4 linked regions of the Drosophila melanogaster genome follow. The protein of the gene in region 1 interacts with the protein of each later gene in a pairwise test. Each region holds a gene or a part of one and is shown on either strand. Other genes may lie near its edges.

Evidence for each region.
Region 2: the proteins of Cys (region 1) and Tim17b2 interact in a two-hybrid assay, tested with the Drosophila melanogaster proteins (one large-scale study listed by BioGRID).
Region 3: the proteins of Cys (region 1) and stai interact in a two-hybrid assay, tested with the Drosophila melanogaster proteins (one large-scale study listed by BioGRID).
Region 4: the proteins of Cys (region 1) and Dpm3 interact in a two-hybrid assay, tested with the Drosophila melanogaster proteins (one large-scale study listed by BioGRID).

The regions. Positions count from the first base shown.
Region 1 is NT_033777.3:14,567,779-14,572,076, reverse strand, and holds Cys (Cystatin-like), read left to right. Parts: upstream 1-2,432; 5' UTR 2,433-2,468; coding exon 2,469-2,653; exon of another isoform or gene 2,654-2,711; coding exon 2,712-2,907; 3' UTR 2,908-2,974; downstream 2,975-4,298. Other genes in the region: CG7987 (uncharacterized protein), read left to right, coding at 1-1,344; CG8066 (uncharacterized protein), read left to right, coding at 3,292-3,413, 3,478-3,670.
Region 2 is NT_033779.5:15,482,013-15,486,522, forward strand, and holds Tim17b2 (translocase inner membrane 17), read left to right. Parts: upstream 1-2,716; 5' UTR 2,717-2,824; coding exon 2,825-3,355; 3' UTR 3,356-3,533; downstream 3,534-4,510.
Region 3 is NT_033779.5:6,118,519-6,126,269, reverse strand, and holds stai (stathmin), read right to left. Parts: upstream 5,597-7,751; 5' UTR 5,460-5,596; coding exon 5,060-5,459; intron 4,497-5,059; coding exon 4,327-4,496; intron 4,266-4,326; coding exon 4,080-4,265; intron 4,007-4,079; coding exon 3,860-4,006; intron 3,573-3,859; coding exon 3,417-3,572; intron 3,293-3,416; coding exon 3,206-3,292; 3' UTR 1,617-3,205; downstream 1-1,616. Other genes in the region: WDR79 (WD repeat domain 79), read left to right, coding at 1-338; Arpc4 (Actin-related protein 2/3 complex, subunit 4), read right to left, coding at 515-1,021; CG31642 (uncharacterized protein), read right to left, coding at 5,839-7,512.
Region 4 is NT_033777.3:13,401,417-13,405,544, reverse strand, and holds Dpm3 (Dolichyl-phosphate mannosyltransferase subunit 3), read left to right. Parts: upstream 1-2,493; 5' UTR 2,494-2,556; coding exon 2,557-2,706; intron 2,707-2,774; coding exon 2,775-2,909; 3' UTR 2,910-2,986; downstream 2,987-4,128. Other genes in the region: yellow-e2, read left to right, coding at 1-238; yellow-e3, read left to right, coding at 739-1,086, 1,151-1,544, 1,610-2,097; GILT1 (Gamma-interferon-inducible lysosomal thiol reductase 1), read left to right, coding at 3,795-3,866.

The sequences.
Region 1 (4,298 bases):
CAAGATAAGGGCAAAGCTAAGCCAAGATATGATTCCACCAGCAGTCAGCAATCGGATCGCCTTTGGGAGGAAAAGTTCCTGCACGACAGTCAAGTGGCTCTGTTTCAGATCGATTCGCTGGTAGTGGTCAACGACACTCATTTGCAGCCTGCTAGCTCCGCTGTGTCTGCTAACATACCCAACACAAGAGGTGGATCGAAGCAGCAGGGAAAAGTTCAGGCGAAGTCTGTAGAAGGAGCCGAAAATTTGAATAGCTCAGCTACCACATCTGACACTACATTCTCCGCCTCCACCTCCACTGCCAGCACTCGGAGCCGCAAGAGGGCAGCAACCACTAAAACAGCCAGCAAAGCACCTCCTGCCAGTAATTCGCGACCTCGAATGATTCACACAGAGAAAGCCAAGGTGACAAAAGGAGTTGGCGGAGACTCCACTAGTAGTTCGGCAAAGAAAACGCGCTCGAAGACCTATATAAGTCGCACGGAGTCGCACAATCTGAGCCTCGACAAATCCCGCAGCAGTGCCTCAAATATGGTGGATGACTATGAAATCATTTCTCCAGCTACTCATCCGCCAAATCAGATCAGCTCCAGTCCCTTGCACATCAAACAGGAGCAGGAACAACAACAGCGTGTTCAACTTATGTACGATGATAACCTACTGATAGATGCTGCTCTGCTCAGGGAGAAGACTTATGAGAAGTTTAATCCGAGCATTGTTAATGATCTGGAGGAGATCCTCCGCTCTCCACTGAAGCACGAGAGAAATTCTCGTCTTCGCTTTACCAGCGAGTCATCCACCACGCCACAATATTTGCACGAAGAGGAGCAAAACCTTATAAAAATTGAACCAACTTCTCCGGATCTGCGGGAAATGTTGGAGGGTCAGCAAAGAGTCATCGCTCATAGCGGCAGCACTCCTTCGTCCTCTTCATCTGCTAGAACTTCCAGACATCTGCGACAAATCACTGCCAATGGTGCACGGGCAGGCAGCAAGAGAACAACAGGTGGCGTAGCCAGCAAGACGTCGGCATCCCCGGGAGTGGTGGCCAAAAAATCGAACACTGCCACCAAGGTGAGCAGCAGCAGCTCATCCTCGTACCTCTCGTACGGGGTGGATTCCTACAATGTAAACGTACCTGCCAGTGCCAACAACGGCGATGTGGGCAGCGGATTCTTTTCCATCTCGGAGGTCGTTTCCGCAGCTGACGCCGCGGATGCGGCTGCTAAAGCGGCGGCAGCTGGTAAATCGGAGCGGAAAACTCGCAGTTTCGAGTGCGAAATGTGCTCGGCCATCTTTTATGATCGCACCCAGCTGCTGGAACATGTGCACATTCACATTTAAATGGAAGCTACCTAAACCACTCGCCCGGAGCCTTGTATTTTTGAAACATCTTATCCTTATATACAAACAAAATCGGAGTAAATTACCTCAAGGTATCGTGCATCGAAAAATATCGTTGATTTATGCGTTATTTAAAATATGGAACCTAAACCTATTATAGAGAGAATAGTTCGTAAGGCTTTTAAGTTTGTACCTCAGCTTTTGTTTTGAAGAATTGGTATGCTGGAATAAATACATCATTAAATGGTTTTTCATTACCTTAAATTTTGCTATCACGTATAGATTGAATCTGATTGATAAGATGGGCTCATGTAACCTTTTCTGATGTTTGAAATCTCTCCTAGAAATCTTAAATTTTCTTGGAAACTGCGATAGTGGCATGTAATATACTTTTTATAATTGGTTAAATGTTTATAAACTTGCACATGTGGGTCTTAATACATATCGACTGACCTTTGTAGTACATACTCATAGAAACACTGATAAGAGCATACCGGAAGTCTGTGTGTAATTTGAAGCCATGATTATATGTTTTCATATGTGGTGTACGGTGACTTGTTTTCGGCTCATTTGCACAGATTTTCAATTAAAGCCGCAACTGCTAACTGAAGTAGAGATCAAAACGATTCTCACAGAAAAGCGGCTTTCGCCCATCTGATAAATCAATTAATTACCGCCAATGAGCCGTATTAGAATATAAGTAAACGATTTCATTTGCATATGCATATTTATTAATCATGGAAATAGATTCTTATTTAAAGGGGGCGCACCTTTGAATATTGACTATAAATATTTGAATATTGACTATAAATATTTGGATAGTAGCTGCGAAAATATCAGGACACGTAGATACCGTAGTTTATGTTCTAAAAAAAAATATTTCGAATCTTAAAACTATTTTTTCACTTATTTTGCCTTTCTAAGCAATTTTCTTAAATATTGTAAACCCCGAGTGAGGTTCTGGTTATTGATAGTTCTGATGATGGGCCAGTCAAGTCTTGGATCGATGGCATAGAGAGCCTATTGTATTTTTCCATTGTTGATCTCCCACTGAGATGGCAGGTATAAAATGGGCCACATCGCCGGGTGTTCATCAGTTCTCTCAGAGTCGTCGAGCGAGCAACATGAACGTAGTAAAATCTTTGTGTATTTTGGGTCTGGTTCTCGTCAGCTTGATTGCCACCCAAGCAGCCGATGAGCAGGTGGTAGGCGGTGTCAGCCAGTTGGAGGGAAACAGCAGGAAGGAGGCTCTGGAACTTCTGGATGCCACTCTCGCACAGTTGGCCACCGGAGATGGTCCCAGCTACAAGTGAGTTAGAACTGAGTTCCGAATTTAAAATTCATACTAATTGATCTGCTGATCTTAGGGCAATCAATGTGACCTCTGTGACGGGTCAGGTCGTAGCTGGAAGTCTTAACACCTACGAGGTGGAACTTGACAATGGATCCGACAAAAAGCAGTGCACCGTGAAGATCTGGACTCAGCCATGGCTCAAGGAGAACGGCACCAACATCAAGATCAAGTGCTCTGGTGACGATGGCGAACTGGACCGCACCTGGTAGAAGATTCTTCGTGAGAATTGCCCTGAAAGAAATAATAATAAAAAAAAAAACAAGATACACGTGATTTAAAAAATGATTTTTGATTAATTTTCGGGGAACTATTGTTGCAAAGTATCCAATATATTGTTGGGAAAAATAATAGGAGTGTATAAATACTTGATTTGCTTTGTTTACGTTCCGTGCTAACCAATTCCCATCGCTAGGCAATTACACACATACTATACATATACATATATAAGATACTATATATTTATTGAGATAACAACCATAGAAGCTTTCACTCCAACAAAAGCTCCAGAAGCTGACTCACAATCGGAACGGAACAGAGTGATATCATTTCATGTTTTGGTTTTGGTTTTGTTGAGTTTTGCTACTATCGCCGCCATGTCCAACGTTCCAATTGTAGGCGGGATCAGTCAGCTGGAGGGGAATGAGAGGAAGGAGGCTCTGGAACTCCTCGATGCCACCCTCGCACAGTTGGCCAACGGAGATGGACCCAGCTACAAGTGAGTTAAGGCTAAACTCGGTCTAGAGCTTGCCACTTATTAATTGATTTTACTCCAATTGAAGGGCACTTAATGTAACCTCTGTGACGGGTCAGGTCGTAGCTGGAAGACTCAACACCTACGAGGTGCAGCTGGACAATGGATCCGAGATAAAACAGGGCACTGTGCAGATCTGGAGTCGCGCATGGCTAAAGGAGAACGGCACCAACATCAAGATCAAGTTCCCGGGTGAGGACGAACTGGACCACACCTGGTAGAAGGTTTTACCTTAGACCTACATACAGTTTAACTCTTATCTTAAATGTTATACATATGTTATATACTGGACTTAATTATAGATACCCTTAGGGGGGAACCATATTCTTGCGACCTCAGGTAGCGTACAGAAGAGAGCCTTACCTTTACTATCTGGGAGGATTTGTGTACATTTGGTTACATTAAAACATGATCCGATGGAAAAGGTTCTCTTGGGTTTCAGGTACAAGCCGGTGAAGTAGGTTATAAAACTGTTCCGATGTTGGTTAACCAGTTCTGTTGGCATAACCAGTTTGTTTATATCTCAATATATATATCTCAATAGGTGAATCGTATTATCTTTTCTCTCAACTATTGTGTGTGTTTAATTAGTCAGCGTGGGCGTCATCAGCGGTGTCAGTGGATGTTACAAATAATAATTCCCCCTTTCTTGCTGATAATAAGCTTGTTTTTTTTAAATAATCAGAAGACCTTTCGAAAACAATAGACATTAGTAATTTATCAGAAACACAACTGGCAACTGGTAACTAAACTAAAAGCGTCAGTAAACTCCACCCCCTAAAGTCATATATTCATTCTTATCAACCTTCATTGAATAATCATTATCTCTCGAAAAGTAGAAATGAAAAC
Region 2 (4,510 bases), on another chromosome or scaffold:
TCCAACACCTTTTTGGCAGGACCTTAGATGCTCCTTGTGCAGAGCAAAAAAAAAAAAAAACCCGCACAAACACAAAGCAGACAAGGAGCCGTTAAGAAAAAATCATTGCACCGGGCGGACGGGTGAACGGACAACAACAATGCACCAAGGAAACCCAGAGGATATCGCATCTGCGCCTGCGGGCAGGCAGGAGCATTTTGAAATCAGGAATCAGCACAAATCGGTGCTGGAAATAATGTCAACTCGAGGGTGGCGCGTTGGTGGCTTGGCATTGACAGCTGCAGCTCAGCCCAGGATTCTTCTCCTTTGGCGCGTCTTCGTCTTGGGCCATCGGCTTGGGTTTTTCGTTTTCAGCTCTTGGGTTTTGGTTTTTGGCAAGATGTGCATCTGTTTGCCCTCAGCCCAAAAAATCGAGACTTGATTCGGACGTTGACTTGCATCTGCGGGCGTACAATGCTGAGTGCAGAGATGGGGAATTTGGCGAGTACACCAGGCAAAAAAGTATGGCAAAATTGCAAACAATTCTAGTTAATAAAAATGTTTGCATATCTAAGTATAGTATTTTTCTACAAATTGTAGTGTTAAGTAGTATTACTACTCCCATATATTATACACACGGAATAGGACACTTTAAAATGAGCTTAGCTAGGCTTATTAAATTTCTAGAAGATTTCTTAAGCTAAGATTTCAAATTCATTATACTTTTTTTTAAGTCAGTCGGTTCTACGAATTTTATTTTGTACTTAAAGCAAATACTGGTTTCTTAGAGTGCATTAAACTACCGCATTTATGATCGACATCGGAATACGAGTAATCACAGTCAGGGCACAGGACACAACAATAGTGCACCATTCGAGATTTTTCAGCATTTCTTTTTTTTTTTTGGCGGCAGGCCCGGGGTCCTACCTGAGTCACATCCTTTGTCGACTCAGGCCTGCCCTTTGATTTTGAATTTTTGAATTTCATTGCCCGGCTGGAGGCTGTCGGAATTTGAATTGGACTGCTGGGGTAATGCAACCGCAATTGTTTCGCCCCCTTTGTTCTGGCTGGCGTTTTGGCATGTGCAGGGATTCTCTTCGAGCGGGCAAATGAGTTCCGTTCTGGATTCCCTTTGTAGTGGGTTATGCAGATGCATATTCCTTAAGATATAACAAAATGTTGCATCACAGCTGCCCAAACACTGGCCTCTAACGGAGCATTCGGAGATCGGAAGATGGAAAACGGAACCGTTTTAGAGATCATATCTGTTCGATATTATAATTTTTGAGTTTTTACTGTTTACATAATCATTATTGTTTTAAAAAACATTGCCACAATAGATTACCAAACCTGCATTTCTGTAGCGTACATTGTGGAGCTCGATTTACAGTTGTAGAATGCTGTTCTTAAAATTTTGAATATGGTTTTAAATTGTTCTGTATCCAAAGACAACTGCAGTTTTTTTAATTTCACATAATACGTTGGTATTTTAACAACAAATAATGTTAATAAAATTACTAAATGGGCTAGTAGGCCAATTCCATTTGGCCTGTGACTTCCCAGAAAACTGTAAGGCTCGAATCTCCGGAATTCGTGGGAAACCCATGGTCGGATCGCGTCCTAGAACGGAATGGCCAATCCTTTCGCATAATGTGCCCACATTAACACCACATCGATCTAATCCCATCTAAATCATTTATAAGCGACAACAATTACCGTGGAAATGAAGATTTCATTGGAAATCCCGCAGCAGTGGCAAACAATATGCCCAGTATTTACATTTACAAATTATATATAATGTCTTATCCTGCAGCCATTTCCCGTCAAATGATCCCCGATAACCTTCTCGGGAGTGAGAGCAATCAATCGAGTGCAACACGTTCTAACGATTTACATGTCAAGTTGACGAGATTTGTCCTGTTGAACAATGGACTGGCGCTTCGTGTGTGTCCAGGTGTCCCCTCATACTTAAATGCCTGCCCATCGATTTCGGTTTCGATCGGGGTTTCGCTTTCATTTGTCACTGCTGTCTGACACCTTGTTATGCGGAGATATCCATCGAGGGCCCGAATGCGAAGACTTCCCCCTTTTTCGAGCTAAGCAAACACAGTTGCGGCAGTTTCAAAATTTCGATTATGCTCGCGTGATAATTATGCATGCAATCGTAAGCTTCCCTCCTGAAGTAGTTTGACATACGCAGTATAAAATAGTATTGGGTCTGGAGTTCTGGTTTGGTTCGGCTTGGCTTTATCGGTCGACGACAATCGGTCTCATTGTTTCCGTTTCCCACCGTCTGGCTTTGCCTTTGTACGAATTGCGTCTTTCGAATGGCCCCATCCCCATCCCAATCCGAATCCCAATCCCCCGTCCCCTCCCCATTCTCGAGCCGAAGTTGTCCAGCTGCGGCAGTAAATTTTATGGTTAACTACGGTCCGACATTTGTGCTATTTAACCTTTTTGTGCCATTGAGCTTCGGGGCAAAAGATCCCCGATCCACGTGCGACTCTGTTTGCTCTGACTCTGGTTCATATGCTAATGGGTGTCTGGTGGGGGCACAAACAAAACCAAGTACTTCTTACTTACAACCTGTAGTTTGAAATTTGAGTTCCTGGACATGTTCTCCATGATTTTAAATCTACTAGGTATGTAGCAAGCTTAGTCGCACAATTCACAACAAACTCTGGAATTGACAGACACAAAACTCATAATTTCCTTATACATATCGAGCGACGCCAAGTCACATATAACTCATTTGTAGAAAATAAGCAGAAGGCTTGAAATTTAGCAAATTCAGTTTTTAATTTCGGCCAGTGATAGGAAATCCTGCCAGTGGAAAAGTGCAAAGATGGAGGAGTATTCGCGGGAACCGTGTCCCCATCGCATCGTCGACGACTGCGGAGGAGCCTTTATCATGGGCTGCGTTGGAGGCGGGCTCTTCCAGGGACTCAAGGGATTCCGGAACGCACCACAGGGACTAGGACGCAGGGTCGCCGGCAGTGTGGCTGCCATCAAGACCAAATCTCCGGTGATAGGTGGAAGTTTCGCCGCCTGGGGTGCAGTGTTCAGCATTGTGGACTGCAGTCTGGTCCACTTTCGCCAAAAGGAGGATCCCTGGAACTCGATAGTGAGCGGAGCAGTTACTGGTGGAATTCTGGCCTCACGCAATGGAGCGGCGGCCATGGCTGGAAGTGCAATTATCGGTGGCGTACTGCTCTCAATGATCGAGGGCTTAGGCATATTTTTTACACGTTTCGCGGCGGAACAGTTCCGAAATCGTGAACCGCATATCATGCCTGATGCCAATGAAGGATACGGTGACTTCAACTCTTCCGGATTTGGATTTCCGGGTGCTCAGCAGGCCACTGCAACTAGCTAAATTCCGATTTTTCTTGTCTGGGTATATTAATACGTAGTCCTTTTTGATTTTCATAAGTGCTAGATTTAGCAATATTCCATTTGAAAAATTCGATGACAATAAAATATGGACAAAATTGCAGTATTTCCATTTAAGCTGTTTTTGCAAAGGAACCAATTTATTAAATTTCAAACAATTTAACACGGATTTATAATTATTAAAATACAATTAGCTGCCGTTTGCAGCTCGTTTTGGAAGAAGGAACAAATGCAATTGGCCCTCTTATCGTTCTCCGTGTTAATTCATTCGTATTCATAATCATTATTGCCTCAACAGGTAGTAGGTTGTTTCACACTTGCCCGAATCCACGACAAAGACACCTGACACGTGTCATAGGTCAGCGTGAGATATTGGCAAATGTTTACCTGTTCCAGATGACTACCTGCGATGCTGCGCCGGCGCATAGAGTCAAGTGTCCGGTCGGCGGGTGTGGCCACTTTACAACCTGTCCACTCGAGATGACCGCGGTGTTCTGGCCATTAGACTGAGTGAGGTACTGAGTGGCACTGGCTACCGGCCACATGTCCTGCTCCTAGCTGGAAAGTCTCGAGCGCACTCAAATCAGAACTTTTCCCCCGCAAGGCAAAAAACCAAAGGCAACGCCGATTTCCCAGCAACACATGGACGGTGGGAAGATGGGAAGTCGAGCCCAGTTATAAAATCGTGGGAAAACGCCGCCTACAAGGAAATCCCTTTTCGGCCGACATGGAAATTTCTTGAATAAATGGCCCAAAGAACATATGTAACTTTGGCTCGTGTGTTTTTTTTCCGCGAGCGCCGACTACTCGTAATGTGTGCGAGATTCCTCGCCTTGAGGAATTCCGCAACAAAACATTTGGACACGCCTGGCGCTACGGGAAAAGCACAGCAACATCATCATGTGGCCCGGCCAGGATGTGTGGGAACTGGAGAACTGGGGAATCCAAGGAGTCGCACCTACGCGCATAGTACGTGCTCCGGTCCGGCCAGCTCACACATGTGTAACCAGTACCGCCAGTCCTGTTTGTTTTCCCAGCTCCGCAGTTGGAGTTCCGACATATGTGAGCGGGCCAGGAGAACTCCCTCATGGGAAAACGGAGAGCCCAGCGAAGTCGAAGGTAGGACCAAGGTGAGAGA
Region 3 (7,751 bases), on another chromosome or scaffold:
GTATTCAATTCGACCTCGCATCCGACAGCAATTGGCTGGCTAGCGGTGACACACGGGGATTCGTCAATGTTTGGGATCTCAAAAAATACGGAGATCCTTCCGTACTGCCCCTGCATTCAGACTGCTGCAACGGAGTGGCACTCAATCCGGCTATGCCGATTCTAGCCACCAGCTCGGGGCAGTTCCACTTTACAGACCAAAGTGCCCAAGGGGACAACGTGACCTTAAACGGAACGGAAACGACGGAGTTGCCGGCGCCGGCCGATGTGAATCAAAATCAGAAGGAAGTTCTCTACGAGAACGCAGTGGTCATGTGGTGGTGCGGCCAAACGGGATAGCATATAAAACTGGTGTAGTCGAGTAAATAATACAAAATCCGTCTTTATTCTTGAATCCATTTGGAAATACTAAAGCATCATGACCGGGTCCATACTGGTTGCCTTCACCTGCAAAGGATTTGCGAGAGTAAGTTGGCGTCGACTCAATGGCGATGGCTGTTAGGTGGAACACTTACCTAGAACCGTTTGAGGAACTCCTCGGCGCAGGTGCGTGCCCTGGCATTGACCGCCAGTTTCATTTCGCTGATCTCCTTGTCGATCTCCTCCATGAAGCTAATGACAAAGTCCACCAGTTTGTGCTTATACATCTGCTCCGTGTGGAAGTTGGTGATGAGGAAGCTTATGTCGTAGCCCTCGATGGGCTTGCGGCGCAGTATGACGAACGACTCGGCGCGTCGCATCATGAACCTGGTGAACTTGTGGCACAGTATGCGCTCAATCTCGTCGGCCTGCTTCACGGCGATGCTCACGCGCACCGAGTTAATGGACGGCTCGATCAGCACCTTCTCCCGCTCGTTGCGCGACACGACGACGGGCGTGAGCACCAGCTCCTTGCTGGAACAGATCTCCACCTCCGGCTTGTTGTGCCGCTCCACCACCTGCGAGGGGAAGTCCTGCAGGCACATCGCCGCCGTCAGCGAGTGTCGCACGGCGGTCAGGTAGGGCTTCAATGTGGCTGCCATTGTGTCTGGGTGTCGGGTTGTTGTCTGCTGCCTGCGGTTTGTTGTATCTGCACTTTTTACTTAACTTATTATGATTCACAGGCCCTGGAATTTATCAACCAGAAAAGATGTGACCATGCGCGGCTGGCAGGAAAATACCAATGCCGAGGTGGGGCCGCAAAAACATAGCAACTATTTGGAATTTGTTATGAAACAGTTTCTATTATATGTTTGGGAAGACTATGCATAAAGTTTATACAATCAATATTAAACATGTTGTTTTTAAACATTTATCAAATCGCACTTAAAACATTTCTTATGATGTCCTGTGTTAAGATGGTAAGAAACTTGACTATCAAGAACTTACCCGAGACCACAACCACTGTTCCATTTCCATTTGTATCTTATCTTTGTGGAATTTTTAGGAGTGAAACAATTTAAATCATACCTAAATTTTAAAAATTTAAGAAAAATGTATATGGCTAGAAGCGTTAAAATTTGAAATGGAAATATCAAATATATGTGTACCATATTAAAGTCCGAAAACCCAACACACCAGCAAAGAGGAAAAATGTTAATTTAGAAGAAAACAGCATCCACCAATTATAAATATTGCATTTATTTGTTTAATGCACTTTTATTATACAATTGTTATAAGTATTTTTGCTCGCATATGGTCAGTTATTTGTGGCTTATATGAACTTAAATTATGCGTGAACCTAGAAAGTGAGTATTTTAATCAATCGTTCAAAATTGTAACCCTTTCCTACTCTCAATACTCAAAAAATGTTTCGGCTGATTATTGCATTGGATTAGACATTAATATATCATAAATTGAGTAAATATCAAAGCATTTTATGCTTTGCGTTTATATTTTGTTCGTTTTTTCTTGAGTATGCTTGAAAGTTTTCGTGTCTGGGTAATTTGGTGTCCTGTGCGTGTTAAATTGTTTTGCCAATGCACATTTTTATTAAGAGATTTATGTTATTGATATTCATTTGTAGAAGCCATAGGTTTACACGAGTACACATACATATATAACGATATAAGATTTAAATTTAAGCTAATCTTTAAAGCGCCCTTTGGTGCAAAATTAAAAATAACTCGCAGGTTTTTGGAAAAAATTTTCCTAAATATTCCATTTGGTTTGCCCTAAATACTTTTTTTTTTTTTTATTATAACCCCCACATTCACTCTCCTCTTAAACCCATTTCTAAAAATAACCCGACGTTAGACAAAATATGCATTTCCATATAATATTACACACATTAATGTATGCTTATACGTAGTTTCCTTCCATTTATATTAATGTCTATATCAGCGTTTTTAGTGTTTGTGTTGTATGTAAATAAAGGAAAAATGCGTTTCGTGTGTTTTACATGGTATTTGATTTTATTGAATTGTATAAGCATTTCTTATGTATTTTTTCTGTTAGACATTTATTTTATAGATAGAAAATGCGAAACTTATAAGAACAAATTATTTGTTAGTGTAAAACTATATTCAGCATGTATATGTATCATGTTGTTGCAAGTTAGTAAATTAAAATTACCACTAAAGTATACATTAACTTAATTAAAAACATTTTCAAATTTTTACTCGCGAAAGCCATTCATAGATGCAAATACAGCGTGCTTATTATTTTGAGAATACCTCAGTCGATGCCACAGTAATTAAAAAAAAAAAAAAACTTGAACATTCAAGACTAAGACTTTGAAAATAATGAATCCAAAACGAATATAACATTCTTGGAACTCAAGGTAAAAAGTGTTTTAAACTTTCAACTGAAATCAACGTGAACTTTTAAAAGAATTTGAAATTTTAAATGACAGGCATGCATTCAACTTGCATAGGCTTTTCTGCCTGGGCTTTTAAGTTTAAATGTAGATTTCCTTTACTAATTTTTTTTTTGCATTAACTTGCCGTAAGCATTCATTTCTTTTCGCTTTATAGTAGCTTATTCGTGTTTCATTATAGAGCTCGTGAGAAAACTCGCTCAGCGGTATCTTGAGACTTTGCCCTTGCCCTTCGCTTCGTTTGCTTTCATAATACTTGGAAATTTTGAGAAATCGTTTTCAGTTTTAAGGGTTTTCTTGCTTAAATATGTGTTGGTGTATTATGCAGTGTTGCTGTTCTTTTTGTAGTCGCCTTGTAACCATGTTTGCAGTGGGTGAGCACAGCTCTCGATGCAGGATCGTTCTCCACTTAGCCTGAGGAGGCAATGGCGCTCTGCTGACCATCCAAATCCTGGGCCTGGGCCTTGTTCTGGCGCACGAGCTCAGCGCGACGTTCCTGAAAGAAAGGAAAGCAATCAAGGATTAATATTCGTTTGCGAATGGAGATGTGCAACTACTGCCAAGTGCTACTCAAACAATAGGGCAAATTGTCGCTTTCAGTGGGGGGGAACAACACGTACGAGTTTTTGAACTTTTTCAATTTTTTTTTGCAATTCCTTTTCGCGTTTCTGCTCGGCGGCGAACAATTTGTTCTCATAAATGCGCGCTTTCTCCTCGATCTTTTGACATTCCAATTGATCGTTCTGCGATTTGATTTCGGCAATTTTGATTGTGTTCTAAATGAGAGGATATAAGAGAAATGAAAAACCAAAATTATATGAACGCATGATAACTTATTTATAGTTCGTACACTCAATGACTAACTAAATGTTAACCAGTTTGCTAGTCCAGTCAAAATGATGTGTCATTTCAATTTTATATTCCAGCAATGAATGTAAGTTAATGTAATGTTTATAAAGTAATTGTTGAGACTTATGGGATCTTGGGTATTGAATATTATAATTACATACATCTAATCATAAACTAGATTTAATGAAAACTTTTGGCCATGCTATAGACTCACATGCTCCTTTAGGCGATCCAACATTTTCTTGATATTCTCATCGCGAAGAGACTGAGCAATCTTCAACTTTTCCTCGATTGCCTTCTGCTCGTTGGCCTTCTGCTGCTCAAGAGTCTCACGCGTCTTTTCGATATCCTGGGCATGGATCTTTCGTTAAACGGAAGAAAATACTTGGTTAGTTGGGAATATACTATGGGATGCAATAGGTTTGGTAGCCTACCTTTAGCTTCTCCTTCATGTCACTGATGATGGCCTCTCGCTTCTCCACATGCAGCTCCATTTTCGACTCCAGCTGCTCCTTGGTCTGAGTAATAAACTCATTGGTGATCTCATCCTTTTTGCGAGTCGCCTCCTCGACTTTAGCCAGCTTAGTGGAGATGTCAGCCATCTTCTTGGCTTCTAGAGACTGGGGAAACAAGATTTCACTTGCTTTACAACAACTTTAATTCTTTAATTTATGTACTTACAATGCGACGTTCCTCGGCCGCCTTAAGTTTCTGCTCAATCTCCTCGACGCTAACGTTCTTGCCAGGGGTGACCGGTCGTTTTGGAACGGCCACATTGGGTGCCGGTTCGGCCAGGATGACCTCATAGCTCAATCCCCCGCGGGACTTCTCCTGGCAGCGAATCTCTGTGGCTGTGGAGGAGGAAGGAAAGCAAAGGGAGACTTATAGTAATTCAATATTTTTGCACTTGGGGTGCATCGAATAGTTGCGGTTAAGGGTGAACCTCGTGGTTCAACCCTCGACTTGGCTTTCCCCCCATCAAAACAACATGACGTCATTTTTACACTTCCACCCCCTTAAAAACTAAACTTAAATGTTGTTCTTTTGGCCAATAAGTTAAACAATACGAATTTAGTGTTACATCGAAATATAATCACCTAAAATCGATATCTTGACATTCTCATTATCTAACTTGTAGACAAATCCATCAAATGGAATGCTGGACAACCAACGAAGCGAAAAATGATTTGTCAAAACAAAAATATGTATATGTATACAATCATTGAACAAGAGGGATAACGATACTTGAAGATGTTGCCACGACAGCCGACAGTGGACACCTTTTATATGTATCCATAACCATATTTTGACACATAATTTGCTATTATTATGGAGTGTCAATGGTGACAAAAGCTTTTAGGCAATCACAATGAGTGTGCATAGATTGTTTACCCAAAATGTTGCCATATCTCACCAATTCTGTTCTCCAAATCTTCCTGCCTCATCCTTTCCAGCATGACCGTCAACGCTGACGCATCCGCGGGATTCGAGTGCATCTCGGACAAGTGCAACTGCAACTCCTCGGCGCTAAATCTCTTCTTACAAAAAACGCAATTGTAGCTTTTTGAAGCATCGCCGTTTAGCAGCTTCTCGCCGCTGAAGAATTTGTCAAGAAAGGACCGATGGTAGATAATCTTAATGCGGCGGTCGTCCTTGTGCGTCTCAGTGTGCTGATTTCGGCCCTCATCAAAACACTGGCCGCAGTACATTACCTCAGATCCGCACTCACTGCAACCGTACCGTCGGTCAAAGTCAGCGCGAATTTGCCCGCAACCCTTACATTTGGTCGGTAAAGCAGAGAAATTGCAACCCATTTTAAATGATATGATCAAATGACTGATCGAAGTTCAATTTGGCGTCGTTACTGGGTTTATCGAAAAATGTTTAATGCTTTATTTATATTTTGTTCTCAGATGTCGGAGAAATGTTTTGCAATAACAAATAGAGACAACTGTAGACCGGAATAAAATGGAAAAGCGCTGCCTACTAGATGTGCAAATAAGATTTTGTAAATCATCTTCCACTAGCCAGAGAAATATCCGAGAAAAGCTTCCTATGAAATGGAAAAACCTGAGGAAACATCCAGATCGTTTGGTCATTTTCTTTTAGAAATGTTTATTTCAAAATACTACATATGCATATGTAATTATGAAAATACCGAGGCTTATTTCCTACAAATGCTGGGTGCCCCGCCTATTCGTCCTGGATGACCATATCTATGAAGTCGGTGATTTGAGAAATGGCTGACTCAGAGAAATCGGAATCCGAAGCTCCATCGTCCTCATCACCGTTTTCTTCCTCGCCGCTTTCCTTGTCCTCCTCCAATCCGGCTAAATCATCGCTGTTTCCTTCGCCATGCAAATCGCTGGCCATTTCTTCTGATGCATTACTTTCCAAATCATCCGATCCGGAATCCGCATATGGGATATCGCCCAAAACTGTGAAATAAGCCGAGCTGGTGGAAGCGGATGGGAGTTCAGTTGCCTTGCTTTCGGCAGTTGGTTCGGTCTGATAACCAATCCAAGTTTTGTACTCGGCGAGACCCCTGTAGAAGCGTTCCATCAATTCCTTGGTCTTAACAGGATACAGCAATAGTTTCCCATTTGATTTTACACTGCCTGATGGCTCGACTGCGTCCAACATGAAATTCGCAGTCCAGGGCAGTCCAATTGGCGGCTGGAACAGCTCTTCGTCTGCCAACATCGAACAGAACATTGCCTCGGTAAAGGTAGCTTTGAGCAATTTGCTTTCCCACTTTTGGCCATTTCCGCTCACCAATTTCGAGCACAAAAAGCGCTTATCCTTGAGTGGGGAAGTAATGACAGTTGACACCTTCTTGGTGGGCTGATCTCCTTGCGTCTTCGTTTGTGCCTTGGCTACCCCAGAGCTGGACCCCGCTTTTCCGCTCCTAGAAGACGAAGCCACCGCCGATTGAAGGGCTATCCCGATAGGCTCTCCAGTACGCCTAGCCGTCTGCCTGCGCACCATTGTTGTCGGCTGGTCAACCAAAACGGGCATGGCAGCACGCATACCCATAGCTAACGCTGTATTAGTACCAGGAGAGATTGCCTCAATGCGGGTCAGCCGATGTAGTGAGGATGATGAGGCGCCCAGACGCTGACGACGATCGGCCATGCTAGTCACAACCTGATCTTCGATGACGCGCACAAAAGACTCAATCGCCTCCATGTCCGGCACTCTGGAACTTCTGTGCTGCATAAGCACAGTTTCAGTCTGCTGCAGTATCTCATAGCAGCGTTCAGGAAAGTCGGCGGCAGTTGAATCCATATTGTCCAGCTGCACAACCATTAGGGCCAGGCTTAATGCGGAATCAAATACCTGCTCGGTCCGCTGTTCGCTTCGCGTGTTGCCACCGGCTACCGGTCGAACGCTTGCTAAATTGCGAGAACGAGTCGAGCGCGTTTGGCTAGAAGGTTGCGGTACTGGCACCTGTTGCTCCATTCCGTTGTCCGCTATATAGAGAGTATTGACCAACGACAAGTAGGCATCGTGGTCACGGTGGTCGCGATGCTCCTGCAGCAGGTGCATGAACAAATGGGCGGTAGAAAGGCCGCGAACATCGCACAGGGCACATTTGTAGCTCTGGGCCACTTTGTGATCACCGCAGAATGGCTCGCCGCCGAAGTACAGCTGGTACTCGGCATAGGCATAGTACACACTCATCGGATGGTAGTAGCGATGCTGAGGCGATGCCGGCAGATGGTTGGCATCGAAGCACTTGCCGCACAAAGTGTATTCCGCGCAGAACCTGCAGGTGTAGCGGCGGCCCTGGAAATCGGATATCTTGCAGTTCTCGCAGCGGTGGCCAAAGTGGCGCTCCGGCGGATTGCGCATCTGGTGGGCCATGGGTGCTTGAAGTGATTCTGGCAATGGAATTCGTGCACGGATGATATTATATACGAATTGTGCGCAGAGAATCGTCGTTGGTGAAGACTCAAAAGTTTGCTGAATTTTGTTTATGATATTAGAGAACCCTATTTAAAATTGAAATGTGAGCGGCCTCGCCAGTGTTTTTTATTCGTTTCAACAACTTACTCTTTTCACAACTTTTCACTTTCAACTGATGAACACCTTTACTCGACAAG
Region 4 (4,128 bases), 1.2 Mb from region 1:
CATACGAAGGCCCTACAATCGCGAAAATGTCAAGCTACTTGCTATTAATCCGGCTACGCTGCAATTTGTGAGTGGCATGAAGATTGTCCGCAGACCTGCTGATGGACGGGAGGAACTGTGGCTGCTCTCCGATCGACTGCAGAAGATATTCGCCGGAACCATTGACTACAGGGAAATCAATTATCGGGTGATGCGGTGCGATGTTGATGACCTGTTGCAGGGGCGGGGCTGCTTTTAGGTGCCCAATTCCTAATGCCCAGACACCCTCGAGATCTGTGTAAATACTTTTAAAGCCGACATAAAAGATGTCCATCTATAAATCTTGGGACGATTCGAAAGTGTTTGCTTGACCGCCACAGGTACACGACCTTTGTCTTTGGGTTTGATGGTCCATGTTACACTCGCAAAAATAAATACCAAAATGCCAAACACTCTTTATCAGCTTTCTTATTCTTTTCACTTAATAAGTGCTGAGGTCGTGTTAAATTTTTACATTCATTCGCATTTATAAAATTATAAGTAATAAATCATTAAATAAAGATTCTTATCTTTGGATTTAGCAATGATAGGACTTAAATGTATTGCAACATTTGTTCTATTACCACATAGCTTAAGTTTCTCTGAGTGCACTTTGAGATTGAAGGCTAAGAACTTTAGGGCCTACCTGCACATCTTTAGTCTTCGGCAATCGTTTGAACCGCGCGGAACTGTCACTTAGCAGGTTCTCATTTGATAGCCATGTTGGTCGTCCTGCTCGCATTATTTTGTGCAGTCCAGGGCCAGGCATTGGTCCTCAAGGAGCTGCACACCCTGCATCAGTGGACGAACCTCAGTTTGGGCGACGATCTGTCCAAGGGCAATCGCTTTCTGCCGGTGGATGTGGACATTGAGTACGGCGATGAGGGCAGGCATCGCACCTTTCTCACGATTCCGCGACTGGGGATGGCCACACCCTTCACACTGGCCACCGTCATTGCGGAGCACAATGAGCTGGTGGAGAATCCCAGACTGGAACCGTATCCCAACGAGGAGTGGCACGTGCCACCCAACAATTGCTCCGGCATCACCTCAGCCATTAGGACTTATGTAAGTAATAAAGCATATTTTCCCAACAGAAGATATTTCATGAATATTTATCGTTTTCTCCCAGATCGACGAGTGCTGGCGACTCTGGGTGGTGGATTCAGGGCAGGTAAACTCCCTGCAGTTGTGCCCGCCACAAATTCTCACATTTGATTTGGTGAAGGACGAACTAGTCCAACGACACGCACTTCCGCCCGATTCCTACATTCCCAGCGTATCCATCTTCACGGCTTTGGTGGTGGATCTGGCCGAGAGGGGCACACCCAACCGATGTGTTGGCGGCAGAGCGTATATAGCCGATGCCTGGGGTTATGGTCTAATCGTGTTTGACTCCCTGACGGGACGATCCTGGCGCATAGAGCATGAGTCCATGAAGCCGTCGCCCTTGCTGAGATTAGGACGCTCCAGCAACTCGCAGGCGGGAATATTTACAGTGAGCCTCAGTCCCAGCGAAGTGGAAGGTAGCTATTCAATTTAAATTCTAAATACTCAAAAATTATTTATAATTTCCAATGCAAATTTACAGACCGCTTTCTGTACTTTCACACGCTGAACTCCTTTAATGAGATGAGGGTTCCGCTCTCCCTGATCAACAACGAGACCTTCTGGAAGTCTGCGAATGCCAGCAGGGATAGCTTCCACAGCCTGGGCACCCGAGGAATCCAGTGCGAATCGGAGGTGATGGATCAGTCGGGGAATCTCTACTGCAGCCTCATCAGTTTAGGGGCGCTGGTGAAATGGGAGGAGTCCGTGTCCAACTACACGGCGGATGACCTGCGTGTGGTGGCCTACAATCCGCACAAGATCAAGTTCGTCACGGGCCTCAAGATCAACAGGAATTCCAAGGGAGAGGAGGAGCTGTGGGCCTTGAGCAGCCAGCCGAAACTCTTTGTTGGCGGCGACTTGCCCGCGAACGAGGTCAAGTTCCAAATAATTGGCTGCCGAACCGCTGACCTGCTTGCCAACACGCCGTGTACAGTGGGCGCCGCAGAAACCACGCCCACCAACGTTTAATTAAAACTTAGTTTTAACAAGTTTGAAACTGCGTCAATCGATTACTCTGATTTAAATTGCTGGCTGTAGAAGGCTGGCTGTTATGGCGCAACTTTGATCTATCGATAAATTGCTGACTGTGTTTAGCTGAGTAGTATGGCATTTGATTTGCTGACTGTGGATAGCTTTGTGCTATGGCACGTGCTTAGGGCTTGGTCACACTTAAGTTAGCCAATTAGAAAAGTAAACAATGTCTAACTGGAAGCCGTCAGGCTACGAATTACTAATTAGAAAATCTCCAACTAGACATGAATAGGAAAACCTCTAACTAGATTTGAATAGGTAAACCTCCTATCGATAGTAGCCGGTAAATATCGATATCGAATTACCGGGTGACCATCGGCTTAAGTTCCAGCTCTATGTTTACGTGTAGAACTTTATTTTCGGTTTAGTTTTGTTTACCAATAAATTTCGTTAGCTATGACAAATCTACAACGCTGGCTATTTTACGCATCGCTCTTTGCGATTCCCTATCTCTCCGTTGTTTTGGGAACAGTGCAAACGCCACTAACTACCAAGTATTTCCTGCACATTCAGCTTTTACCACTTTTGCTCCTCGTGATTTTTGGAGTGAGTTTTTGGATATGAATCAATGCAGATAACACCTCTTATTGACTACTACTATATATTACCCACAGATATATTCCGTTTGGACTGTTCTATATAGAACTCTGACTTTTAACGATTGTCCCGAGGCCGCCAAGGAGCTGCAGGATGAAATTCAGGAGGCTCGCAAGGATTTGATAGCCAAGGGATTTCGGTTTCGAGATTAGGAGACTTCCAGCTCGTAGGACTTGTGCATGTTAATCTGTAATTCCATTATTTATAAAAACAAAAATTACGCAAATTTACTCTAGACCGCATTTTGTGTGGGCGGACGCGTTGTTGGGGGCTGATTTCCCCAGGTGTCGGAAGTTTGGTGGCCAAATTATGTTGAGGTTTTGAAAGGATATGCTTGAAAAAGTATGGAATATGTTTATGTTTAATTGGCTTAGCTCCCCTGTGAATTACTCAAAATAAAAAATATAAGAAAACTAAAAAAGTATATGAGGTAAAATACGTTTAAAGAGATTAATAATATTCTTTACGGAAAACATATTTTTACTTAATGAACATGGTATATGGAAAACTCGTAAGTGCGAACCATATATTGCAAATCCATGCTTTGGCTATCTATTTCCAATAAATCAATTTTTTTAAAATTCTCTTAATTACAATGCGAAAGAGAAAAAAATATACTGTTTCAAAACTTTAATTTTCTCTTCTGCAAAATACTGGAAGGAGTTATAATTGCGAAGCTGAATGTTGTGATACTCAAAAGATCCAATATAAACCGATTAATAGCCATTTGAAGTTAATTTGTGTAATTTTTTTTTTAATGGCGGACAATAGTTTGAAAATAGAAATAAATTTCAAGAAGATAATACATAGTTGATGATAAAAAAGATAGTACATTTATTTACTCATGGTTGGGCAGTCTGGAAATCGGCTTTCTAATGGCCGACTGGAACTGGAACGGCGGTTTAAGCGTCAAGCTCTCTACAACAATCAACAGTTCGCGCTCAGCCACCGAACCGCTAACAACACGACCGCCGTTCGTTACGTGCTGGCTATATAACTGCATTTATAAGAAATTCTGAAGAACGAGAAGCCTGAAGATGAGTCACAAAATCGCCGCTGTGTGCCTCTTGATGAGCTGCCTGATTGCCACGGCTTATAGTGCCGCTAAGGTGAGTTTCCGGCTCGGAAAAACCCTTCGCCAAACTAGCGAAAAATCAGCCAACGGGGCCAACTAAGCCATTACACAACAGCCAAGCGTGTCAGGGGCACTCCGAATTGCTTTTACCATTTAGGTGAAGACGTGATTAAGTCGAATAACTAAATAGTGGGGGTATAGGAATACAAAAATGCAAAATAAAAAAATCCATAAAAGAGCTGCACCCTTTTCGTGGCAGCAACAAGTGGCATTTCGAGAGTTTAACGAACTGTGCC